Caenorhabditis elegans: one gene and its partners. The protein of the gene in region 1 purifies or fractionates together with the protein of each later gene. This does not show direct contact. Each region holds a gene or a part of one and is shown on either strand. Other genes may lie near its edges.

Region 1 (5,207 bases):
CACTGGTTTTTGAGTATTGCGATCAGGATTTGAAAAAATTTTTCGACTCGCTGAATGGGTATATGGATGCACAAACTGCACGATCCTTAATGCTTCAACTTCTCCGTGGTTTATCCTTTTGCCACGCTCACCATGTACTTCATCGAGATCTCAAGCCGCAAAACCTGCTGATTAATACAAATGGGACACTGAAACTAGCTGATTTTGGATTAGCCAGGGCGTTTGGCGTCCCAGTTCGATGTTTTAGTGCAGAAGTTGTCACGTTATGGTATAGACCGCCGGACGTGCTTTTTGGAGCGAAATTGTACAATACTTCAATTGATATGTGGTCTGCCGGGTGTATTTTTGCAGGTTTTTTTTAAAAATTAAATTTGCCAATAAATTTTCCTAATTTTTACTTTTTCAGAGATCTCAAATGCCGGTCGTCCATTATTCCCCGGTGCTGATGTTGACGATCAATTGAAACGAATTTTTAAGCAATTGGGCAGCCCATCCGAAGATAATTGGCCATCAATTACACAACTTCCAGATTATAAGGTATTACATGTCGTAGTTCTTTGAATTTTTTGTATTTTCACCTCTACATATTCTTATCAAATTCTCTTAGTTCTCTAATTCCGTCTTCTTATCTTTTCCATTTTACCTGCCACGATTTTGCCGCTGTCCTGTCCTCCCGACTACTATCCGCCCGTGTCAATTGGTGAAAAACTAAAAAAGAAAAAGATAGAAAGAAGAAATGATATTGAGTACTTTGAGCTCAGCTGTTTGTTCGGGTGACGTAATTCATACAATCACGGGCGGCTGGGACAGGACAGAGAACAGAGTATTGAGTAGATTTAGAGAAGCAGAGACAACTGTTCTAGATTTAAGATTGACAATAATTAATTGAATTCCATTGCATTATAGGAACACACAAGTATAACATACCATTTTTCAGCCCTACCCAATCTACCATCCAACGCTTACATGGAGCCAAATCGTACCTAATTTGAATTCACGTGGCCGTGATCTTTTACAGGTAACTTTTTTCCAATAAAAATTATACTTACTCAAACTCGAAGTATTTGCAGAAACTTCTTGTTTGCAATCCAGCAGGAAGAATCGATGCCGATGCAGCTCTACGCCATGCGTACTTCGCAGACACTTCTGACGTCTAACTATTCACTATTGCACTTTCCTACTCACATTGTTTTCTCGCTTTCCCTGGCATTCACTTCCCCCACTGACCCCAAATGAACCTCATTGCTTGCGAAACAAAATCTCATCGTTAATAAACGGCTACGGTTTGAAATCTTTCTGTGGCACATAATTGAACGAAGGGAAAATCAACAACGTTTTATTGTTGTTCGAGTAATTTTAAAGATCAACGGCAAACACAGGTGCAATAACCGAGATTGTCAAACCGAGTCCAGATAAAGGGGCTATCCTAACGAATGTTCAATCGGGGTGTTGAGGGAAAGAATGAGAATTTGAAAAGGGGAAAACTTTAATAGAGGATTTAAAACTTTTTATGTGGCTCGCTTTATTTTTGAAAACTTAACATAGTAGCTAGGTGAACTACTTTGCTAAAACAAGCTACATAACGAGATTTTGTTGGACAATGACAAGGTAAAAATTATCAAAGTGTTATCAAATTTAAAGGAACTTCTGGATTTCGTCGTAGATGGCCAAGACGAGGGCTCCTCCGGTTCCACGGAAGACGTTGGAGAGGGCTCCCTTGAACATAGCGGACATTCCTTCGTTTTGGATGATCTTCTTTGCGCAATCGAGGGTGTTTTTGTAGAGGATATCCTTGCGTCCAGACTGCATCATCATACGACGACGAACAGTGTCCCATGGGTAGGAAAGGATTCCAGATCCGACTGTGACAACTTGAGCAATTCCCCAAGCGGCGAAGAAGTTGAGTTTCTGTCCATCAGAAGCGAAGACCATCTTGGCGGTATCGAACATTCCGAAGTATGCGGCACGGTAGATGATAATTCCTTGCACGGAGACGAAGAATCCTCTGTAGAGTCCGATTGGTCCATCGGATTTCACGATCTTGATAAGGCAGTCAGCAAGTCCCTTGAATTCACGGTCGTTGGCCTTTCCAATATCAGCAGCAAGACGGGTACGGGCAAAGTCGAGTGGGTAGACGAAGCAGAGGGAGGTGGCTCCAGCAGCTCCTCCGGAAGCCAAGTTTCCTGCGAAGAACCTGAATTTCAAATGTGAAATTTTCTAAAAACAATAATGCAATGTTTAACTTACTTCCAGAAGTCCTTCTTTTTGTCGAGTCCCTCAAGGAAGATTGCCTTGTATGTGTCCTTGAAGGCGAAGTTCATGGCCTGAGTTGGGAAGTACCGGATGACGTTAGCGAGGTTTCCTCTCCAGAGGGCAGCAACTCCTTGCTCCTTTGGGACACGGATGAGAACATCCATGATTCCCTTGTAACGCTTGTCAACGGCGATAGCCTTGGAAGCATCTTGGACCTAAAATTTTTCATATTTATAGTGGAAAAAAGTTTCATCACACACCTGGAGGAGAAGCTTGACACGCTCAATTGGGGCAACAGCGGTCTTGGAGACGGCAGCAGCGGTACCTAAAAGAAAACAAAATTAATTAAATCACAAATTTGACGAATGAAAACCCAAAATTAATAATTATAGAAATCCTCCAAATTTTTGCAATAAAAACTGAAAAAGCTTACCTCCTGAGGCGAGATCGATCAAGAACTTTTTGGTGTCGAAGGACTTTTCTTTGGACATGATTCAAGATTGAAGGACCTCGGTGGTCGGTGCTTGCCAGAAGCAATAGTGGGAAGACGGCCGCCCGTCGAAACGGGGTGCGCGCACAGCCCGTGAGGCACTTTGCAGGTCTCGCCACGCTCGCAAGTACGGTGCGTCAGGCGCGGCGATTCAAACACTAGTTTTCTCTGACCGCCCAGTTTTGGGATTTTTTGCATATTTTGAGCCTAAATATCAGTTTTGTTATCGATTTTTCGTATTTTTCTTTTCTAAACGTGTTCGTTCCTTCATTCCTGAATTTTTCACGTTTTGTTTTATTAAAAAAACGTGATTTATTTTCGAAAAATAGGTCATAACTCCAAGAAAGTAACTTAATTGCGAAAGTTTCAGTTTTTATGAAAATTATGAGCCATGTCAAAGCAAACACAATAGTGTATTAGTGATAAGCAGTACTTGAAGTGTTTTTTGTTTATTTACACTGTAGATAACTGGTTATTCGTAACCTCAATGTTCCGAAAAAAATCGATATCGCATTGTGGCTAATTTATGCCTACGGGAGTTTGGTATGACCGGTTTTTCGAATCGCTTTAAAGTAGTTTTCTTCATATTTCTCTTCTCATCGAGCCAATGACTTGTCACTATCATGGAATTTTTTTCGGGTATCAGTATGTCGAGCCACAAGGAAGAGCCACTCGAGGCTGACGTCGATCAACTTACTCAATACCGTGAGCGATGTGCCGACCATGTCACCGAATTCAAGAGTATTCTCGACGAGTGCAACGATCGTGTCAACTCTCGTTCTAACACTGAGGAGACCTGCCATCAGGAGATGGCTGACTACGTTCACCATTTGGATCACTGTGCCATGCCAAAGGCCTTCGCTTCGTTGAAATAATATTTCTTTTCCTGCTTTTTTTGAGGATTTCTCGTCTAGTTTATGTGAATTTTCGCTCTCGTATTTTTTATCCGTCGCTTTTTCCGTGTATTTGAGAGATAAATAAATAAAAATTTAGGGTACCCCATCCGCATCACTGCTGGACAACAATGCCGTCTGATGCGAAGAAAGCACGCGAGGCCGCTAAGAAGGCTGCCGCCAAAGGAGGAAAAGGAAAAAAGAAGGTGAGCAATTGATTTTTAGTTTTTTTTTGTTTAACAAATAATAATCATCTCATTTCCAGGTAGAAACACCAACCGCCATGTCATCTCAACATCCGTCCGTCAACAGTCTCTGCTGTTTAGACGAGGAGCTCGATCAGGCCGCCGCCACCTTGGCCAAAATCGAATTGGAAAACGCTGCTGCTCGTTCAGTCGCCGGATCATTGACTTCCGATCCAAAGGGTCTTGATCACAGAGTAGAAAGCCTGACGGTAAGTGGTTTTTAATTGGCGACTCCAACAAGTAACTTTGTTTTCATTCAGATTACATTCCACGGTCGTGAAATTGTCGTTGACACGAAACTCGAACTCAACCGTGGACGTCGTTACGGACTCATCGGATTGAACGGATCTGGAAAGTCTACCATCATTCAGGCAATCTACAACAAGGAAATGCCAATCCCAGAGTCCGTGGATATGTACCTCGTATCCCGTGAAATGCCTGCTTCAGAGAAAACTGCTCTTCAAGCGGTCGTTGATGTCGATTCAGTCAGAAAAGAGTTGGAACATCTTGCCGAGCAGCTTGCTAGTCAGACTGATGAGGAAAGTCAGGACAAGCTGATGGATGTTTACGAAAGGCTGGATGAAATGGATGCATCTCTCGCTGAAAAGAAGGCTGCCGAAATTTTGCACGGACTTGGATTCACAAAAACTATGCAAATGAAAAAATGTAAAGATTTTTCTGGAGGATGGAGAATGCGCATTGCTCTCGCTCGTGCACTTTTCCTGAAACCGTCAGTCTTACTTCTCGACGAACCGACCAATCATTTGGATTTGGAAGCTTGTGTGTGGCTTGAGGAGGAACTCGCTCAGTATAAAAGAACCTTGTTGGTGGTTTCTCACTCTCAAGATTTCATGAACGGAGTTTGCACCAACATCATTCATTTGTTCCAAAAGCAATTGGTTTACTATGGAGGAAACTACGACCAGTTTGTGAAGACACGTCTTGAATTGCTCGAAAATCAACAAAAACGATACAACTGGGAACAGTCTCAACTTCAACACATGAAAGATTACGTCGCGAGGTTCGGTCACGGTTCTGCCAAACTCGCTCGTCAAGCTCAATCCAAAGAAAAAACTATGGCTAAGATGATTGCCGGAGGCCTCGCTGAAAAGGCTGTCACTGAAACCGTGAAACAGTTTTACTTCTTTGATGCTGGGGAGATTCCACCACCAGTTATCATGGTTCAGCATGTTTCATTCCGATACAACGAGAATACTCCATGGATCTATAAGGATATTGACTTTGGAATTGATTTGGATACCAGAATCGCTTTGGTCGGACCTAACGGAGCTGGAAAATCGACACTGTTGAAGCTTCTCTGTACTG
Region 2 (5,132 bases), on another chromosome or scaffold:
AGTATCTCAGCCTCAACCAACGTTTTTAATGCTTTTTTGGTAGAGAATCGAGATTTTTTGAATTTTTTAACAATTTTTTCTTGTAAAAATAGGCAGGAAATGTGAAAAATACACTATTTTCAGCACAAAACTGCATTATTTGTGGGGAAAATTGGATTTTTTGGTTGAGTGAGGCTATAGACTACAAACTACAAGTATCTCAGCCTCAACCAACGTTTTTAATGCCTTTTTATCAAAAAATCGTTATTTTTTTCACAAAAAATGGACAGAACTCACAAATTGGTTGAGAAAAGTTGAAAAAGGGACACTTTTTGGCATTAAATTGCATCATTTGTGGGGAAAATTGTATTTTTTCGTTGAGTGAGGCTAAGACTACAAACTACAAAAAATTGAGAGCCTCAACCAACGTTTTCAATGCTTTTTTGGTAGAAAATCGAGATTTTTTGAATTTTTAAATCATTTTTTCTTAAAAAATAGGCAGGAAATGTGAAAAATACACTATTTTCAGCACAAAACTGCATTATTTGTGAAGAAAATTTGATTTTTTCGTCGAGTGAGGCTATAGACTACAAACTATAAAAACTTGAGAGCCTCAACAAATTTTTTTTCACTAATTCACTCGGAACTTTCTTGAAAATTCGAAATTTTTGGCAATTTCTCACAAAAAAATCGGCGAAAATTGCAGAAAAACGAACAAAATTCGATGAAAATCGCAACATTTTGAGCAAAAACGTTCAACTTTTGTATTTTGTAGTCTCTTCGTGACTCAATGATGGTTGAAGCGATGGGACTACAAACTACAAATTCGGTTCAGCCTCAACCAACGTTTTCCGTGCTTTTTTGTTACAAAATCGACATTTTTTGATTTTTTTTCCTCAAAATATGGACAGAACTCACAAATTGGTTGAGAAAAGTTGAAAAATTGCCAATTTTTAGCACTAAATTGCATTATTTGTGGGGAAAATTGATTGATTTCATTGAGTGAGGCTATAGACTACAAACTACAAGTTTGTGTAGCCTCAACCAATTTTTTTGGTTTTTTTTATTCGAAATTCGAGTTTTTTAGTCATTTTTTCCGAATTTTCTCGCTAAAATCTAACCAAATTGATTGCAACGTCACATCGATAATTAACGAGGTCCTGAACGAGCTGTTTATAGTATAAAAGTGCGTAGGCGGCCCATAATCCTGATATAACCGAGTGGAATAGTGAGACACATTCGTTGGAGATTCGCCATTTCTTATTCGGTGGGATAGCCTGGAAAATGTGGAGTTTTTAGGTAAAAATTCGGAAAAATTTATATTTTCTGGCTGATTTGCTGATTTGGTTGAGGCTCAGACTACAAACTACAAGTTTGTGTAGCCTCAACCAAGTTTTGAGCACTTTTCAGGAGTTTTGGGAAAGAATTTCAACGTTTTTGTAAAGTTTTTATTGAAACTTGTAGTAGAAACTCTAGAAATAAGCGATTTTGATAGAAATTTCAACAATTTTCGGCGTTTTGAAGCAAAAGCTGATTGGTTGAGGCTAAGACTAAAAACTACAAATTTGTGTAGCCTCAACCAACTTTTTTTTTGATGAAAAACTGCTTAAAATGCTGTAAAATCGATATTTTTCAACAAAAAATGCTCAAATTTCGAAAAAAAAAACTGCTTTTTTAGCTCAAACTTCCTAGTTTTTGGATTTTTTTTGCAGTAAATTTCTGAATTCTCACCGACAGATCTCTGCTGTCGGGCTCGGGCTCCTGTTCGACCTGCTCGCCGGCTTCTGCCTCATTTTCAGGCGGATTTTCAGTATTTTCAGCTTCTTGACCGCCTCTCCGTCTCCTCCGAATGCGGTTTCGGATGTCGAAAAAGTTAAAGTTCGGCCACGTCCATTTGCCAAATAAGTACCAACGAACGATGAATTGCAGGGCTCGGAAGAAGGCAAATGAGACGATTACCTGGAGAAAATGGATTTTTGGGCCTAAATTCGCAGAAAATCGGGGGTTTTTGGCATTTTTTGAGTGAAAACTCACAAAAATAATCGAAGAAATCGTTGTTGATTTCATTGGAAAATTAGAAATAAATAATAATTAATTTTTCACGAAAAATTATTTAAAAAATTAATTTTTTTTTGAGTTTTATTTGAAATTATTTGAAATTTCGAATTTCTTACCCATAAAAACATTGTTGGCACTGGGCCAAGAAGATCCGTCAACAGCTCCGCCAGCTGCCGCATTTTCCAGAACTGTCTGAAAAAAAACTGATAAAAATTGGAAATATTACGGAAAAATAGGTAAAACAGTAGGTTTTTGGGTGAAAATACCCGGAAAATTCAAAAAAATTCGCTTAAAAAAGCTATAAAAACGATTTATTCAATGAATTTCTACAGGAAAAATTAAAAAATTAGAATTTTTTTTCGACTCTAAACTCTTCGCCAGGTTATTTCTGGGACGCCAATTGAGTAATAGTAGATTTGACCTGAAAATATCGATTTTCGGCATTAAATTCCACCAAAAATCCTACATTTTCTCTCGACAAATCCTCCAAAGTGGCGACTCGCTCAACTCCGTGCTCGTATCTGGCGAAAACTCTGCAAAAAACCGCAATTTCACCCAAAAATCGATAATTTCCCACCTTGGCACGATGCCAGACGCCTCACGAATCAGAATTGGGAACTGTGGATTGGCTTTTTTGATTCCAACATAGTCGTTTTCGATGAACGCGCGGACTCCCGCCGATGCTGGACTTTTCTGGCAGACGTGGATGCGAATCTCGCGAAGAGCGGTGCCGGCAAGACGGACAGACATCTGAAAATCGATATTTTAAGCTTTAAAATCAAAAAAAAACTTTAAAAAATGCAGAAAAATCCAATAAAACCAACAAAAACCGATTATTTTTTTCGAAATTTATTATAAAAATAAATAACCCGTGATCCCGCCCACTTTGGCAAGCGCGGCGCGCGGTATTTTGCAACTCCTACGCACAGTTTTGCTGTTTTCATGTTTTTTGAGCAAAGTCTTTGAAAATTGCTGATATTTTAGGAAATTTGCCTAAATTTTGCTAAATCTATCAAATTTTAGTGCTAAAACAAGTTTTTTCTCAATTTTTTGAGTTAAAAATCACGAAAAACCCATTAAAATCATCAAAAACCAATGACTCCGCCCCTTTTTGCAAGTGGCGCACGCAATTTTGCAACACCGCCGCACAGTTTTGCGGAAGACACTGCAAATCGAAGTGTCACGTCATCGCACATTTTTTCAGTTTTTCAACGTTATTTTCGATATTTTCAAACGAAAAACCACTTGATAAACTCAAAAAATCACTATTTTTACAGTAATTAATCGCTAAAAAATGGGCCGCGCGTCGTTTGAGTACGACGAAGTCGGCAACACATTTTACTATGTGCTCGTGGCATTCTACGCGATTATTCTGTTCCCGGCGACCTACCTATGCCTTCCAGGAGCCTCGAAACCAGGTAAAAATCGATTTTTTGGCTTAAAATTCATAATTTTTTCGTATTTTTTCGTATTTTTAGAACCAGAACACGTGATCAACGAACACGAGTGCCAATGCGACGGTTGTGACAAGAAAAGACGACAAAAAGCGGCGAATAAGCCGTGGCGACGGACTAAAAAGATTATTACCATCGTTGTAAGGCTTTAAAACTGAAAAATCCGGAAAAAATCCACTAAAAATCCCAAAAAATTGCAGGTTCTCGTTGTAGCGTGGGCAATTTTCGCGATAATTGTGAAAAAAACGACTGAAATCGAGCAAACTCACAAGGACTATGACCCGTATCAGATTTTGGGTCTGGATCAGGGCGCCGACGAGAAGGCCATCAAAAAGGCCTGGAGAGATATGTCAAAGGTGCTGGAAATTGGAATTTCGGCGATTTTTTACTGAGAAACCCCTATTTTCGACATTTTTCAGCTTGAAAATCGAAGAAAATCGAACTTTTTACTGTTTTTTACCTCGAAAAATGCAGTTTCCAAGTATTTTAGATGAAAAAATTGTTTTAATTTTTGGTTGAGGCTCGCGAATTTTGTAGTTTGTAGTGTTAGCCTCAACCAATTTTTGTGCGAAATCTCCGTAAAATATGGATTTTTTCGTGGAAAATGCCTCGAAAATCGAAATATTTTTGCAAAAACCTGATTTTCAAACACTTTCTCGCCAATAAATCTAATATTTAGGCTATTTTTACTGGAGAAACCCAATTTTTTCATAATTTATTGCAATTTTTACTCTAAAACTAAATTTTTTGCAATTTTCGGTCGGTTTTGCGTCAAGATCTATATTTTTGGTTTTTTTTTCCGCTGAAAACCAATTTTTTCGCTAAAATTGTTGAAAATTTATTTTTTCCCACAGAAAAGCCTCAAAATCTTGAAATTTCACTCCATTAGATATTTTCTCGAAAAAAAAGCTTATTTTCGACCTTTTTCGGCTTGAAAATCGATTTTTTTGACTTTTTTTGCCTCCAAAATTGCAGTTTCCAGGAATTTTAGGCTAAAAATTTGCATTAATTTTTGGTGAGGCTGGAGATTTTTGTAGTTTGTAGTGTGAGCCTCAACCAATAATCATGCATTTTTGGTTGAGGCTAATCACTTTTTGTAGTTTGTAGCGTGAACCTCAACCAATTTTTGTGCGAAATCTCTGTAAAATAGGGAATTTTTTTGTGGAAAATACCATAAAAATCATAATTTTTCGCCCAGAAAACTGAAAATTTGGCTATTTTTACTGGAAAAGCCCACTGTTTCCCAAATTTTATTGCATTTTTTCACCCAAAAACTAAATTTTCGGGCACTTTTATTGAATTTCCGACAGTTTTTCTCGAGAAAACATGAATTTTGTCCTGTTTTCGCCTTAAAATTTCTGAAATTTCAGTAATTTTTGGTGAGGCTGATAGTTTTTGTAGTTTGTAGTGTGAGCCTCAACAAATTTTTGTGCGAAATCGCCGTAAAATAAGGAATTTTTTGTGGAAAGTACCATAAAAATCATAATTTTTCGCCAAAAAACTGAAAATTTGGCTATTTTTACTGGAAAAGCCCACTGTTTCCCAAATTTTATTGCAATTTTCACCCAAAAACTGAATTTTCGGGCACTTTTATTGAATTTCAGACAGTTTTTCTCGGGAAAACATGATTTTTGCCCTGTT
Region 3 (5,683 bases), on another chromosome or scaffold:
GGGGAAGTGAAATCCGATGTTGGAACGTCTTCAGATGAGAAGGCATCGGATTCCGAGGTTGAGAAGAGACAAAGGACTGATTCGGAAAGATCTGGAAAAGGTGAGAATATTAAATTGTTTCAAATAATTAGTTTTATTTACAGATAAAAAGAAGAAGCATAAGAAAGAGAAAAAACACAAAAAGGATAAGAAGCATAAGAAGGAGAAAAAACATAAACGCGAAAAAGAAGTTGAAATGGAAAATGATGGTCCTCCAGCAAAAAAGAGAACTTTAGAAGAAGTCGATACTAAAAAAGACGAATCTAAAAAGAAAGAAGCAAAAGAATCATCTCGAAACAATGAAGATGAACTCAGAAATCCTCCTAGAAGGGAACGCTCAAAAAGTGCTGAACGTAGGGATCGTGAATTGCGAGAAAGACGAGATGCTGAACGAAGAGATCGATCACTTAGTAAAGAACGAAGATTGATTCAGAGAAAAAGAGAAGATAACAGAAGAGATCCGCGTGCTCATGAAGGAAATCGTCGTAGAGATAGAACACCAGAAAGATTCAGAAACAACAGAGATCGTCGTGACAGAGATGGAAGAAGAGAGGATCGTCATAGAAGAAGTCCTGATAGAAGACGTGACTCGGATAGAAAAAGAGAGGATGGGAAGAGAAAAGATGAGTCAAAGGATGTTGAGTGGAATTTGGATTCTGATTCTGATGATGAACAGAAGAAAATTGAAGCGGCAAGAAAGCGACGAATTCAAATTATAAAGAAGATTGAAGGGCATACTGAAGAAAATGTGAGTTATTCTTCAATTTCTGAAAATTTTAGTTCTATTCACAATGTATCTCAATACCTCAATTTTGATTTTTGTTATATTTAAAAGCTTTATCGGACACCTTAATACCTTTATATGTTCGGATTGAATGCAAGAACCATATTCAAATCCAATCGAGCCCATTTTTGAACGTATCGATCAAAAATTAGTCTATCTTTCTAAAAGATAAATTGTTTACAGATATTTTATGTTTTTACAGACTCCGCGTGATAGCAGTACTCCAAGAAGTGATACAATCGGAGACAAAAAGACTGACGAATCAGAAGACAGTAGCTCCGATTCGGAAGATGATGAAGACGATCGCAAACTGGCTGAAGCAAAAGATCTGATAAAATCTGTAAGATAAATAGAAAAAAATCGGTTAGACAATAATTTTGAAAATTTCAGACCCGATTCGGAAGCGAGCAAGGGAGTGGAGCATCGACTCCAGTAAGTATTCAATCGGATAATGACACTCCAACTGATTTCTTCTCTGGTCTTCGAGATAAAATGGTTCACATGAAAGATGCAGATGAACATAATGTAGACGAAGTACTTCAAAGAGGAAAAGATGAAGAATACAGAGAAGACTGGCATACTCAATTGAAAGAGCAAGAAAAGCGGGAGGAAGAGGAGAAGAAAAAGAAATTGGAAGCAGAAGCCGCCGCCGAAGCAGCTAAAAAGAAAAAGCAAGAGGAAGATGATACGGGATTCGATATGTTCGCTGATAATGAGGAACTTCCACAAGACAGTACAACAATTGATGGGCATAGTGGAGCAGTACACGACACTTTGAAAGATAATTGGGATGATGTAGAAGGATACTATCGTGAGTTGTAATTTTGATTTTATATAGGAAGTTTGTCTACTTGTTATATCTTCCAAAGTAAATATTTAATTTTCTGATTTTCAGGCGTAAGAATTGGAGAGCTCCTAGACACACGTTATCGTGTTGTTGGTTTCACTGGTGCTGGTGTTTTTGGTAATGTATGCCGATGCAATGATCAGACAAAAGGAAACACTGTTGCTGTCAAGATTATCAGAAACAACGAAGTTATGTACAAAACAGGACTCCGTGAACTTGAAGTTCTTCGAAAATTGAATGAAGCTGACAAGGAGGATAAATATCATTGTCTTCGACTGTTCAGAACTTTCAAGCATCACAATCACTTGTGTCTAGTCTTTGAAAATTTGAGCATGAATCTACGAGAACTTTTGAAAAAATACGGACAGAAGGATGGATTACATTTAAAGGCAGTTCGAAGTTATGCTCAACAACTACTTCTGGCTCTGCGTCTTCTCAAAAAGTTGGAATTCGTTCATGCTGATATTAAACCTGATAATATTCTTGTAAATGAGTCGAAGCTAACATTAAAACTTTGTGATTTTGGTTCTGCTGGTCGCGTCAATGAACAAGAATTGGCCCCATACTTGGTCTCTAGATTTTATCGTGCACCAGAAATTAGTGAGTTTTAAATTAAAATTTTGTTCCCAGAAATAAAATACAATTTTCAGTGCTCGGAGTCCGTCATGACTATGCAATTGACCTCTGGTCCGTTGCAGTTACTCTCTATGAAGTTTACACTGGAAAAATCATGTTCCCAGGACGAACCAATAATCATATGTTGAAATTGTTCACTGATGTCAAAGGAAAATATCCCAACAAATTGGTTCGAAAATCGCAATTCAAAGATACTCACTTTGATGTAAACTGTAATCTTTTGTATCAAGAAGTTGACAAAGTTACAGAAAGAAACAAGGTTTGTATATTTGAAAACTCAAAGTATTTACATTTTTATGTTTTCAGATTACTGTTCTTGCAAATTTGAAACCGACACGCGATTTGGAATCAGAATTGATTGCCGGGCAACGTTTGAGCAGAGACCAAATGGATCAGGTTAGTGTACCTTATAGTGCAGCTGGTTAGACTATTGTCGACCACCCAAATGTCCCTGGTTCACCCCCGCTCTATGTTCCTCTCCACTTTGTTAATTTTCTGGAATGGAGATTTTATAAGAGCGAAAATAAAATGTCATTAGCGGTGCTCATCTTCGGTTAATTTTCTCGATATGGCTGATTGGATAATGACTACATTTTTATTTTCACAGATACAAGCGTTCCGAACTTTGCTCGATGGAATGCTGATTCTTGATCCAAGCAAACGAACAACCTGCAATGAGGCTCTCAAACACCCATTCTTCACCATACCTATCAAATAATACATTTCCCAAATTTTTTCGGTGATCTCTAATTTCTCTTCTCCTATTTCGATTGTATGTATGCTATATTTAAATACATATTCCTCGACAGCAAATTTTTTGTTATCTTTCGATTCATTATGGAAATTTTAAATGAAAATGATTGTAAATTCGCTACTTGTTTTGTATACATACTAAAAAATAAAACCAAGAGGCTAGACAAATTAGCAGTTGAGGTGTTGGATCTTCATGTCCTCTGCCTTCGTGGCGTGCGAGTTATAGAATCGGTTTCCACAATATCCGCAAGCATGAACTCCTGGTTTGTCCTGAAAAAATTAAAGTGTGACATTAAAAGTTAAAAAAAAACTAACAAGGTTGATGTATACTTTCGGATGTCCAAGAGCTGGATGTCCTCCATCACAGAAGACAACTCTCTTATCCCCGCAATCCTCTGGAGGGCGTTGATCAATAAGATGCATTGCTACATTTGGATTGACGCTTTTCTTCGAAATATCAAATCTTTGAAGACGATAATCAGATTGATCCCACGCCTGAAAATGTGCTTATTTTATTTGAAAAGTTATATAAGAAACACTTACTTGTCCGGTGTGAGTCACCTTGTCGAATTGTGCATTGTTTTTGGTAATTTGATTCGGAGTTGGTGGCTTTGTTGTAATTGTAGAAGAAGCTCGGACGGCAAGAGGTCCGCGTGAAACCGACTGTTGAAGAAGCCGGTTCATTACTAAACCAAACAGTGATTATGATTAATCGATACAACTTTGAATTCAATATAAAAGAGCAACGAAGAAATAATTGTAAAAACCGTAACAATTTCCTTCTTTATAAAACATGAACAAACATTGTTTTATACTTAAACTAGACAAATTGTTGTTAATCATCTGTTTTCAAACAAATTTGACGTCAATTAAAAAGATGTTTCTCAACGCCCGCAACTTGGCGTCAAATGAAATGCTTGCGTCAAAAACACGAATTACCATTGTGCACCGTAATGAATCTTCCACATCGTTTTCTGAGTGATTTGTGAACGAATAAATTAATTTGACCCGTCAAATTTTAAATAGGATACATGTTTATTCTAAGATTGTCTAAAATTGATTTGATTTTCAGCTAGGGAGGCATAAATTTAAAGTAAGAGTTAAGACAGGGGAGTACGCAAACACTGAACTTGACGACAGTTTCGTGCGATTGCACAATCTCACTTTTGTTGGAATTTTCGTCAGATTTTCCCAATTCTTTACTTTTTTATAATGTACAGATTAGTGTGTCTTTCAAAATGAATGAGTAAACATTTATTCATCTCTGTTTCGTTAAATGTAACTTTCTGTGCTCAGTTCTGCTACATTTTAAAATAACTTTTAGGAACTCCGTATACTGTTTCATAAATATCTTAATTTACAGTCGACATGTCCAAGCTTTACATCGATACCGATGCTGGATCTGATCAGCATCCCGGAACAGAAGCTCAGCCATTGGCTACTTTGGTTCAGGTTAGCACACAAAAATATAGTTGCTAAAAACAAACTTTTCAGGCTATGCTTATTTCGAAAAACTCGGGCGAGTTCTTGATGAAGAAAAAGTCAGAGGAAGGGGAATCGTGGGAACCAGCAGCGAAAGCTGCTATCAAAAAGGCAGTGAAAAAATACGAAGCTGAAGTGAAAAAGCTGGAGAAAGCTGGTTGTAGGGAGAAAGAAGCCGAAGAGGCTCAACATGCTGCTCTCGAAGAAGCCAAGAAGATTACATTTTCTCTTGACAAGTCTCTTCCAGAAGCTAAGGTTATCAAGATTGGAGAATCTGTGCAGCATCGCGATCAACGAGTCTCAATCAAAGCCTGGGTACATCGTCTTCGTCGTCAAGGAAAGTCACTCATGTTCCTTGTTCTTAGAGACGGTTATGGATTCCTTCAATGTGTTTTGAACGATAAGTTGGTATGAAATAGTTTCAAAGATCAACTATAATCGTTTCGTTTTCCAGTGTCAAAGTTATGATGCTGTTACTCTCTCAACAGAGACTTCTGTTCAAGTTTATGGAATTATCAAGGCACTTCCCGATGGAAAATCCGCTCCTGATGGTCACGAGCTTACCGTTGACTATTGGGAGGTTATTGGCAAAGCACCAGCTGGAGGAATTGACAACGTTCTCAACGAAAGCGCTGGAGTCGATGTGATGCTTGATAACCGCCACCTTGTCATCCGTGGAGAGAATGCATCAAGAATTCTTCGTATTCGCGCTGCAGCTACTCGTGCAATGAGAGATCATTTCTTTGCTGCTGGATATACTGAAGTTGCTCCTCCAACTTTGGTGCAAACACAAGTTGAGGGTGGTTCCACTCTCTTTGGGCTTGATTATTATGGAGAGCCTGCATACTTGACACAATCTTCTCAACTTTATTTGGAGACTTGCAATGCTGCTCTTGGTGATGTTTATTGTATTTCACAGTCGTACAGGTAGGTTTTTTGACATTTTTTTAGAACACTAGTATTCAAAAATAAATTTCAGAGCCGAAAAATCGAGAACTCGTCGCCATCTGTCAGAGTATCAACACGTTGAGGCTGAATGCGCTTTTATCACTTTCGATCAACTTATGGATCGCATTGAGGCTCTTGTTTGTGATACTGTTGATCGGCTTCTTGCAGATCCAGTCACCAAATCGTTGATCGAG
Region 4 (7,684 bases), on another chromosome or scaffold:
CACTATTTTCTCACCTCTAACTCTTCCGGGGGCCCCGTCAACAACGGCCGCCTCCTACCCGGTCGCTGGCGCGCTCTCTTTCTCGTATCTTTTTGTTCTCAATTTCTCAAAATCTCTCTATATTTACCCAGTGCTTCTTAACTTTTTTGTCACACGTCTCTCCACAACGAGGAACAGCCGCAGAACAGAAACAGAAACATACGCGTGCGCGCGCGCCTCTTTCTCTCCGTCGGTCTGCCTGAAAATGAGAGGATGCGGGGGGCTTCTCTGTTCCTCTAACTTCCTGCGTTTCTTCATTTGTTGTCTATCTCTCATTTTTGGGTCGCTTCATTCTCTCTTAGTTCCTCTGTGAGGGAGGCTTGATGAATTGAGTGCATTCTCTCTTTCTCTCATTACGAAAAGGGCATTATCCTTTCGAGCTTCATCTTATTGTCTTTTTCCTTAAAAAATTACCTAAGTGGCCCTTTAACTTCTAGATAGACCTTGGATTTAGACTCTATCGTTTACATCCTCTATTTCAATTAAGCAAAATCCATTTTGCATTCCATATATCATATTATTTCTCACAGAAATAAGCTCTTACTCGAGCAAGTTCCCCAATATAATCCGCCTTATTCCCACCAGCAACCGGATAAACCTTTGAGTTCTGATATTTGATTAAAGGCTTTATCCTACTCGACGAAATGGGTTTTTGCATAAATATCCCAGTTTAACTCGGATATAACCTTGATATTTTTATAGAAACCAAGTGTCATAGAAATTTGCCAAGTGACTTTTTTTGTTCATTTGAACTTCCACTTATTTAAATAATTTTTCTTGAGAGGTCAAGTTCTCTGAACGTTATTCCTCTTCCAAAAACTCATTCAACCTAACAAAAATTGCAACAAAAAATTCTTTTGCCACAAAAAACGACATTCTATTTCATTCTTTCCGCTCTTTCGCATTTTTCATTTCGTGCTCCACCAGAAATTTCAAGGGTCCCATTCTCCTATAAATGGTAAATATTTTTGTGTTTTTCTTTGCTGTCATTTTTGTTCGTTGATTTCCAAATTCCCAAAGGAATAAAAAACTCTTCCGCAGAAGAAAAAAAAACATTCCCTCGTTTTCTTTTCTGATTTCATCTATAAATGATGAAGCTTTGAAACTGGAAAAAAGGCTGAAGGAGTCAAGGAAAGTGAGTGGAAGATAAACAAACAAAAAAGAATGCCAGAACTTTTTTTGCAGACAAAAAAATGGAGGAAAAGATTTATTTGGTGACTGATTTATGGGCTAGGCGGCGCCCCTCTCTTGGTCTTGAGGGATTTGCACGAGAATAATGACAAAAAAAACGAAAAGTTCGGGTGTGAAGGAGGTCTGCCAATAAAGGGCATTTAGGGGAAAAGAGCGTGATTTAGAATGCAAATAATTTTAGTGGAGGGGTTTAGATATTCATAAAGTTAATTTCACTTAATATATGCTCAATAAGTTGCCAAAGTTCTGTCAAGAACGTTTCATAATTTGGATTGCGTTGCTATTATGATAGATATTTTCGGTAAATTAAGCAGAAAATCGAAGAACCAAATAACAAAGCTTATGTTTTTTTTAAACTCAATATTTGTATGCCTGTCAGATTCTTCAAAGGTTCCATTTCAAAACCTATCTCACTTTATTTGATTGATGAGCCTTTCACTAGCTATTATAGAATTAAAATAGTATAGGCAAGCAATTGCTTCTAATTTACAAATTACAAATTACATTTGCCAATTAAACTGTATCATTTCACCTACTAAATCTCAATTTCTCCATTATTCTGAAAACTTTGAGAGACTCTTTAGAAAACACGTCTAGAATTCTTTGAACCTCTGAAATCCAAAGACAAACGACAAGCTTAAAGAAAACAAGAGGAAACACAAAAAATTTTTGTTTTTTCTTATTCTCTGGTTTTCCTTCCCATTTGTTCTGTCACTTTCTCGAGAAATCGTTTCCACATGGCAATTAGGCCGTCACATTGAACCTCTCCAAACTATTATTTTTCTCTTCCTCTCTACGTCTCTTCAATCACATTCATCTCTTATTGAAATTTCTGGGTCTGATCTCCAATCGGTTTCTCTTTCTCTCTATATTTCATAGATATCTGTTTCCGAAAAGACACGCATCGGATTTCCGTAGATTCACACGATATTCATAGGTGAATATTGGAATTTATGAATGGGAATTTGGCTTTCTATTGAAATATTTTCCTAGATCTTAGACAGATAGTAGCCCATTTCCTCTTATTGGGTCTTTACCAAAAAAAATGCTCCAAAAAAAAAGAAAGAAATTGTTTACTCGTTGCTCCCCTATTTGCACATAATCTTATTACGGAACAAAGACGGAAGAAGGCGAAAAAGAAATCATTATTTTCCCTTTTTGGGTCTTTTTTAGGAGTTAGGGCAGAATATTGCTACTTGTTTTTGTTTAATTATTTTTTTATTAAATTTGAAGTCAAATGTTATTGTCTTATTTTATTATACTTTCTTATTTAAAAGTTTCAAAATTTAACGTAATTTTTCTGATAAAATATTTATTTTAAGTGGTAACTTTTTATTGAAAACTTCTCTTCAAAGTTAACTTTGAACCCCAGCCTCGGGTCTTGGTGGAAGCCAAACTTTTCAACTACAGTACCCGTAAGTATTACAAAATTAGTATTCGTCCAAATAGAAAAGTTTATGATTATACTGTCGTGATTTTGAAAATTTTCACCACAACTTACTACAAAATTGTCAAACACCTATTTTAAAATTTTTCGAAAAATCCTCACAGGTACGGTAGCTGAAAACTTTCGCTCCAAGGGTTATTTTGTTTCTCCAAATTTTCTTCAAAAATCCATGTGACTTCCCGTTCAAATTTCCATTTTCACCCTCTCCTCAAATTGCGTTCCGTTGTTGTCTCCAAACATACCAAACCAACACAAAAAACCAACGACGACAAGTTTCAACAAAAAATGCAACCGGAAACTCTGCTCTCTCTCCCTAAATTTCTCAACTTCTTATTTCAAAAGAACGCCCTTTTTTACTAGTACGATTCAGTGGTTTTTTATTCGGATTTCGAAAACTGATACTTTCTTTCCGATTTTTCGTATTTTCTCCTTTTCCCGCCCTCTCCATTTTCCAATGTTTTATAGCCAGGCAAACATGTTTTATTGAATTTTCCCTATGCATGCTATTTTTTCTATTTGCTTTGATTGTATGTAGCTTCAAGTTGAAATATTATTTTTTCTACCAACTTCTCGTTTTTTCCAGCATATTTCAATGCCAGATTTGGAAATCAACGGAGTTGAAATGGAAAATGGTGTTGGAAGATCAGACAGTTTGAAAGCTGAAGAAGCAAATGCTCTGCGAGAATGGGATCCTAAGCATTTACTAAAAGCCCTCTACGAAATATCATATGAACCACGAGTTGAAACAAAAAGAAATCGATTTGTGACAATGGAAGGACATGTAGAGGTAAGCATTCGTAAATAAAGAAATTACCTTTGCTGTAGTTTATTTTGACCCGCTTTCTCAAGGAGTCTCCAAAAATTGTATGTAATACTCAGTAAATGCTCCTTTGCACGGAAATCTTTAGTAAAAGGCGAAAGATTTTCACGGTTAAATGCAGAGGAACCAGAGTTGATTGTGCACCTCTAAATTGGAACGTGATGAACTCCGTGTACGGACATCTGGCGGGTTTCGCTCACCACGTTGGGGAACGTAGTGGGCGGAGTTTTTGCTTGGAAATTTTCAGGCCTAGAAAAAACAAAAACAGTGATCACATTCCAGAAACCAAAACTCCTACGTCCAAAAGCTATTCAAAAAATATAAAATAGTTTCTATTCATAATAAAAAATAACAATTTTAATTATAATCTCAACTGATTGAGAAATTGGAAAAAACTATATTTTGAGCTATTTCATTCCAGGTCCCAGCCGACGAGGTCACAAAATCAGACGGTCTAGATAATGAAGGATGGATGAAGCAGTACATTCGAATGAAAGAAGGACGTCTTCAAATCTTTGCATCTCACTACGCAGGAGAAGCTCCAGCTCAAGAACTTGTGCTCTCTGGAGCAGATGTAGATGCCAATAAGGATGAGAGAACTTTGACTATTCATGGAGGAAGGGAACATGTTAAATACTATTGCAGGTTGGTAAATTTATGCTTAAAAGTTTCACATTTTATAAAAACCTAATTGTTTTTAATTTTTCCAATAATTTATTAAAATTTCAGAGTTCCATCAGCAGTATTCGACAAATGGCGTCAATCATTCCTATCACACTGTGCATCTTCTCTAATTGATGCCTATGTTAAACCAATTCCAAGAGCATTCCAACATTTAACTGAAAGAATTTTGATTCTTGAACTTGGTTCATGCTCAATCAGAGCCGGTGTTCTTACAACAGAACCATCACTTCCACAATCATTCTTCCCAGCCATAGCCGTCCGAACTGATGATGGAAAGATTTTCGTTGGAGAAGACGCTTATAGGCCGGAAATTAGACATAATGGTGATTTTGTTCGACCAATCTCTGCTACAGATCCATCAGTGGAAAGATATTCAATTGATAAAGATGTTCTGAAAGCAGTTATTGGAAAAGTAACAAAGGAATTGAAAGTTGAGCCATGGAAATATAAAGTTTTACTTTCAATCCCTCAAAATATCCCAACTGTTTTGATTGGAGAATTACTCCAGATTTGTCTTGAAGATATCAAATTTCAAGTGAGTTATCGCTGAGAAAACTTTTTTGTCTAAAAAATAAACTTTCAGTCGGCAGGAATCACTCGTCAGCCATCACTGATTCTGTATGCTTATGATGTTACAACTGGAGTTGTTGTCGATATTGGAGAAAGAGTTAATATTGTTCCAGTAATTGATGGATATGTCGTCGAATCGGCCATTTGTTCAATTCCATATGGATCACAGCAAATGGGAGATTCGTTAAGAGCATCATTAAGTGCTCATAACAAAGGATTATACGCTTTTCAAAGTCCTGTGGAGAAGCTTATTTTAAGATTTGCACTGGAACAGGTAAAATTTAATCGTATTAATTTTCAAAAAAATACTTGAAGTTTAGACTACCTACGTACCAGAGGATTATCAAAAAGAAGAAAAATCAGAAAATAAAGAAACTAGAATCTCATTAGATGCTTTCACACCATCACCTGGAATGCAGACCCGATTCGATATTGATAACTCCAGATTTTTATGTACGGAAGGACTATTCAAGCCAAAGAAATGGGGTCTTGACACGAAAGGTCTCCACCAATTGATCCACGAGGCAATTCTTCAGTGTCCAATTGATAGTCGTCGAACACTGTATAGGTAAGAATCGTTAGTTTTCTAAAATTTATGACCAAAATTATGCTTTCAGAAATATTTATTTGGCTGGAGGAGCATCTCTTATGCCAGGAATTGCTGAAAAACTCGAACAAGAATTATCTACAGTAGTTCCAAACACAATTCACACTCAAGTTAACATCAGTCCATGGCGGTATAACGCAGCATATCTTGGAGCCCAAGTAAGCCCACCAACTAAAAAAAAACCAACTAATAGAACAACGGTAAAATTTTAAAATTTCAGATCGTCGCATCAGCCTCCACATTTGAAGACTCCTGCATTTCTCTTCAACAGCTTCCAAAGTTCCTTGCACAGCTCCAGTCATCGTCTTTCTGAAGCTTCGACCTGAAAAATAATGATTTCGTTAATTTCTTATGATTTCACTGACCAACCTGAAAATTCCGCTTTAGAGGCTCATTTTCCTGCTTTTTCGAGAGTTTTCTTTAGACCTTCGTGTACTATTCGCTTTTGTACAATTATTTTCCTTTTGTTTTATCGATTTTATTTGTCCGAGAGCTCTTTTTTACATATTTTTGTGATACTGTTGTCGTAATGTTTTCCCCGCAGTTACTTTCGTTAAAAGTTATGTCAGACAGTTGAGTCGGCTAGCAATTTTAGCTAGACAAATTTATTGCATCATAAACATTTATTTATAAAGTTTTTTTGTTTTTTTTTCAAATCAATTGAAGAATTCTACACAAAAACAGATATGATTGGAATTTTATTTTTTTACAGCGAAATATTGACTAAGTAATTTGATAATTTCAACAAAAAATGCAGATAATTTTTGTCGAATTTCTATAAATCTTTAATGTAACAAAAAGAGCACGAAAATCATGTGAAATAAAACACTTTTTTAAAGGGACATGGCATTTCACGAGTGAAGGGTCTCGCCGCGATCTCTCATCTGCAGCAGCCGCCGCTCTCTGTTTACCACTGTGAATTTTTAGGCCCGATTTTCTTTTTCTATTTTTTCTTCAATGTTTCTGCTTTTTGTTAAATTTTCTCGAAAAAATCACTGAAAAATAGAAGAAAATCAATGTTTTAATCACTTTATTGTGTTTTGAAAAATTTAATGTTCGAATATTTTTGTTTCGAGAAGGAAACTCTTTCATTTATCGTATTATGTATTTTTAATTCATTTTTGTTAAATGTGAAACGTTTTCAGCATGGGTATCTCGCGCGACTCTTGGCATAAGCGCTACAAGACCGGAGCCACTCAACCGGTCCCTCACAAGAAGAGGAAGTTCGAGCTCGGACGTCCAGCTGCCAACACCAAGGTAAGAGCTGTTTAATTTTTATTTTATTTACCAGGGATTTGGTTGAATCAGTAAAATTAAATTTAAAAAAGATGATCGCGAAATTACTCTCAGATTGGAGCCCACCGCGTTCGTCTCGTTCGCACTCGTGGAGGAAACGAAAAGTACAGAGCTCTTCGCCTCGACTCCGGAAACTTCTCCTGGGCCTCTGAGCGTAAGTTTCGTTATTATACTTTATAAACCGTTCATATTCTGATTTTTCAGAGACTACTCGCAAGACCCGTATCGTTGATACCATGTACAACGCTACAAACAACGAGTTGGTCCGTACCAAGACTCTTGTCAAAGGAGCCATCATCAGCGTTGATGCTGCTCCATTCCGTCAGTGGTATGAGGCTCACTATGCTCTCCCACTTGCCAGAAAGAAGAACGCCAAGCTTTCCGAGGAAGACAACGCCATCCTCAACAAGAAGAGATCCCACCACACCATGAAAAAGTACACCGAGCGTCAAAAGACTGCTGCTGTTGATGCACTCCTCATCGAGCAATTCAACACTGGACGTCTTCTCGGTAAGAAAATTCAGAAATTTCTTCAAGTTTAATCATTATTTTTCAGCTCGCATCTCTTCTTCCCCAGGACAAGTCGGACAAGCCAACGGATACATCCTCGAAGGAAAGGAACTTGATTTCTACCTTCGCAAGATTCGTGCCAAGAAGGCCAAGTAAATGCCTTTTGTGGTTGTTTTCTTGTTTTTGTTACATAAAACATAAACGAATTGTTACTAGAAATTTGTTAATAGCACATTTGGAATAAGGTTACAACTGCAGGGATTTTATGCATTATTGTTGGGCGAAGGATATACAATGGTGATTCTATTATTAAAGATGTTCCTGACAGACAGCCCATGGGTCTAAAGGAATTTCAGTTCGGTCTGCAAAGGATTGCTTTTTAATAGAGATGTTCTCGGGAAGGCTGAAGTAGTAGTGATCAGAGATGGGCTGGCCAGTATGACATGAACATTTTTAATACATCGAGAAGAGTTTCGTTCTGGATTAGTATGAGCTCATAATGCACAGTTTCAGAAGCGCC

What was found.
Region 2: the proteins of T27E9.2 (region 1) and ndua-2 fractionate together in Caenorhabditis elegans (co-fractionation; one large-scale study listed by BioGRID). This does not show direct contact.
Region 3: the proteins of T27E9.2 (region 1) and nduf-6 fractionate together in Caenorhabditis elegans (co-fractionation; one large-scale study listed by BioGRID). This does not show direct contact.
Region 4: the proteins of T27E9.2 (region 1) and F42C5.9 fractionate together in Caenorhabditis elegans (co-fractionation; one large-scale study listed by BioGRID). This does not show direct contact.

What each region holds. Positions count from the first base shown.
Region 1 is NC_003281.10:13,460,768-13,465,974, reverse strand, and holds T27E9.2 (Cytochrome b-c1 complex subunit 6), read left to right. Parts: upstream 1-3,390; coding exon 3,391-3,618; downstream 3,619-5,207. Other genes in the region: cdk-5 (Cyclin-dependent-like kinase 5), read left to right, coding at 1-351, 407-537, 938-1,018, 1,071-1,157; ant-1.1 (ADP/ATP translocase), read right to left, coding at 1,636-2,194, 2,248-2,468, 2,514-2,578, 2,687-2,744; abcf-2 (ABC transporter domain-containing protein), read left to right, coding at 3,768-3,842, 3,902-4,090, 4,142-5,207.
Region 2 is NC_003279.8:14,111,291-14,116,422, reverse strand, and holds ndua-2 (NADH dehydrogenase [ubiquinone] 1 alpha subcomplex subunit 2), read right to left. Parts: upstream 2,788-5,132; coding exon 2,615-2,787; intron 2,571-2,614; coding exon 2,504-2,570; intron 2,459-2,503; coding exon 2,420-2,458; 3' UTR 2,338-2,419; downstream 1-2,337. Other genes in the region: TLC domain-containing protein fld-1, read right to left, coding at 1,101-1,256, 1,711-1,938, 2,154-2,216; dnj-29 (J domain-containing protein), read left to right, coding at 3,332-3,455, 3,516-3,631, 3,692-3,847.
Region 3 is NC_003279.8:7,088,802-7,094,484, reverse strand, and holds nduf-6 (putative NADH dehydrogenase [ubiquinone] iron-sulfur protein 6, mitochondrial), read right to left. Parts: upstream 3,746-5,683; 5' UTR 3,744-3,745; coding exon 3,603-3,743; intron 3,555-3,602; coding exon 3,375-3,554; intron 3,330-3,374; coding exon 3,228-3,329; 3' UTR 3,124-3,227; downstream 1-3,123. Other genes in the region: prpf-4 (Serine/threonine-protein kinase PRP4 homolog), read left to right, coding at 1-100, 144-787, 1,026-1,163, 1,214-1,634, 1,719-2,270, 2,321-2,565, 2,613-2,702, 2,914-3,024; nars-1 (Asparagine--tRNA ligase, cytoplasmic), read left to right, coding at 4,428-4,511, 4,554-4,949, 4,996-5,468, 5,521-5,683. UniProt on the Caenorhabditis elegans protein: Accessory subunit of the mitochondrial membrane respiratory chain NADH dehydrogenase (Complex I), that is believed not to be involved in catalysis. Complex I functions in the transfer of electrons from NADH to the respiratory chain.
Region 4 is NC_003282.8:7,312,680-7,320,363, reverse strand, and holds F42C5.9 (PH domain-containing protein), read left to right. Parts: upstream 1-3,260; 5' UTR 3,261-3,269; coding exon 3,270-3,464; intron 3,465-3,510; exon of another isoform or gene 3,511-3,632; intron 3,633-3,918; coding exon 3,919-4,142; intron 4,143-4,226; coding exon 4,227-4,716; intron 4,717-4,764; coding exon 4,765-5,025; intron 5,026-5,071; coding exon 5,072-5,319; intron 5,320-5,368; coding exon 5,369-5,516; intron 5,517-5,578; coding exon 5,579-5,671; 3' UTR 5,672-5,993; downstream 5,994-7,684. Other genes in the region: rps-8 (Small ribosomal subunit protein eS8), read left to right, coding at 6,505-6,615, 6,709-6,808, 6,859-7,164, 7,211-7,320.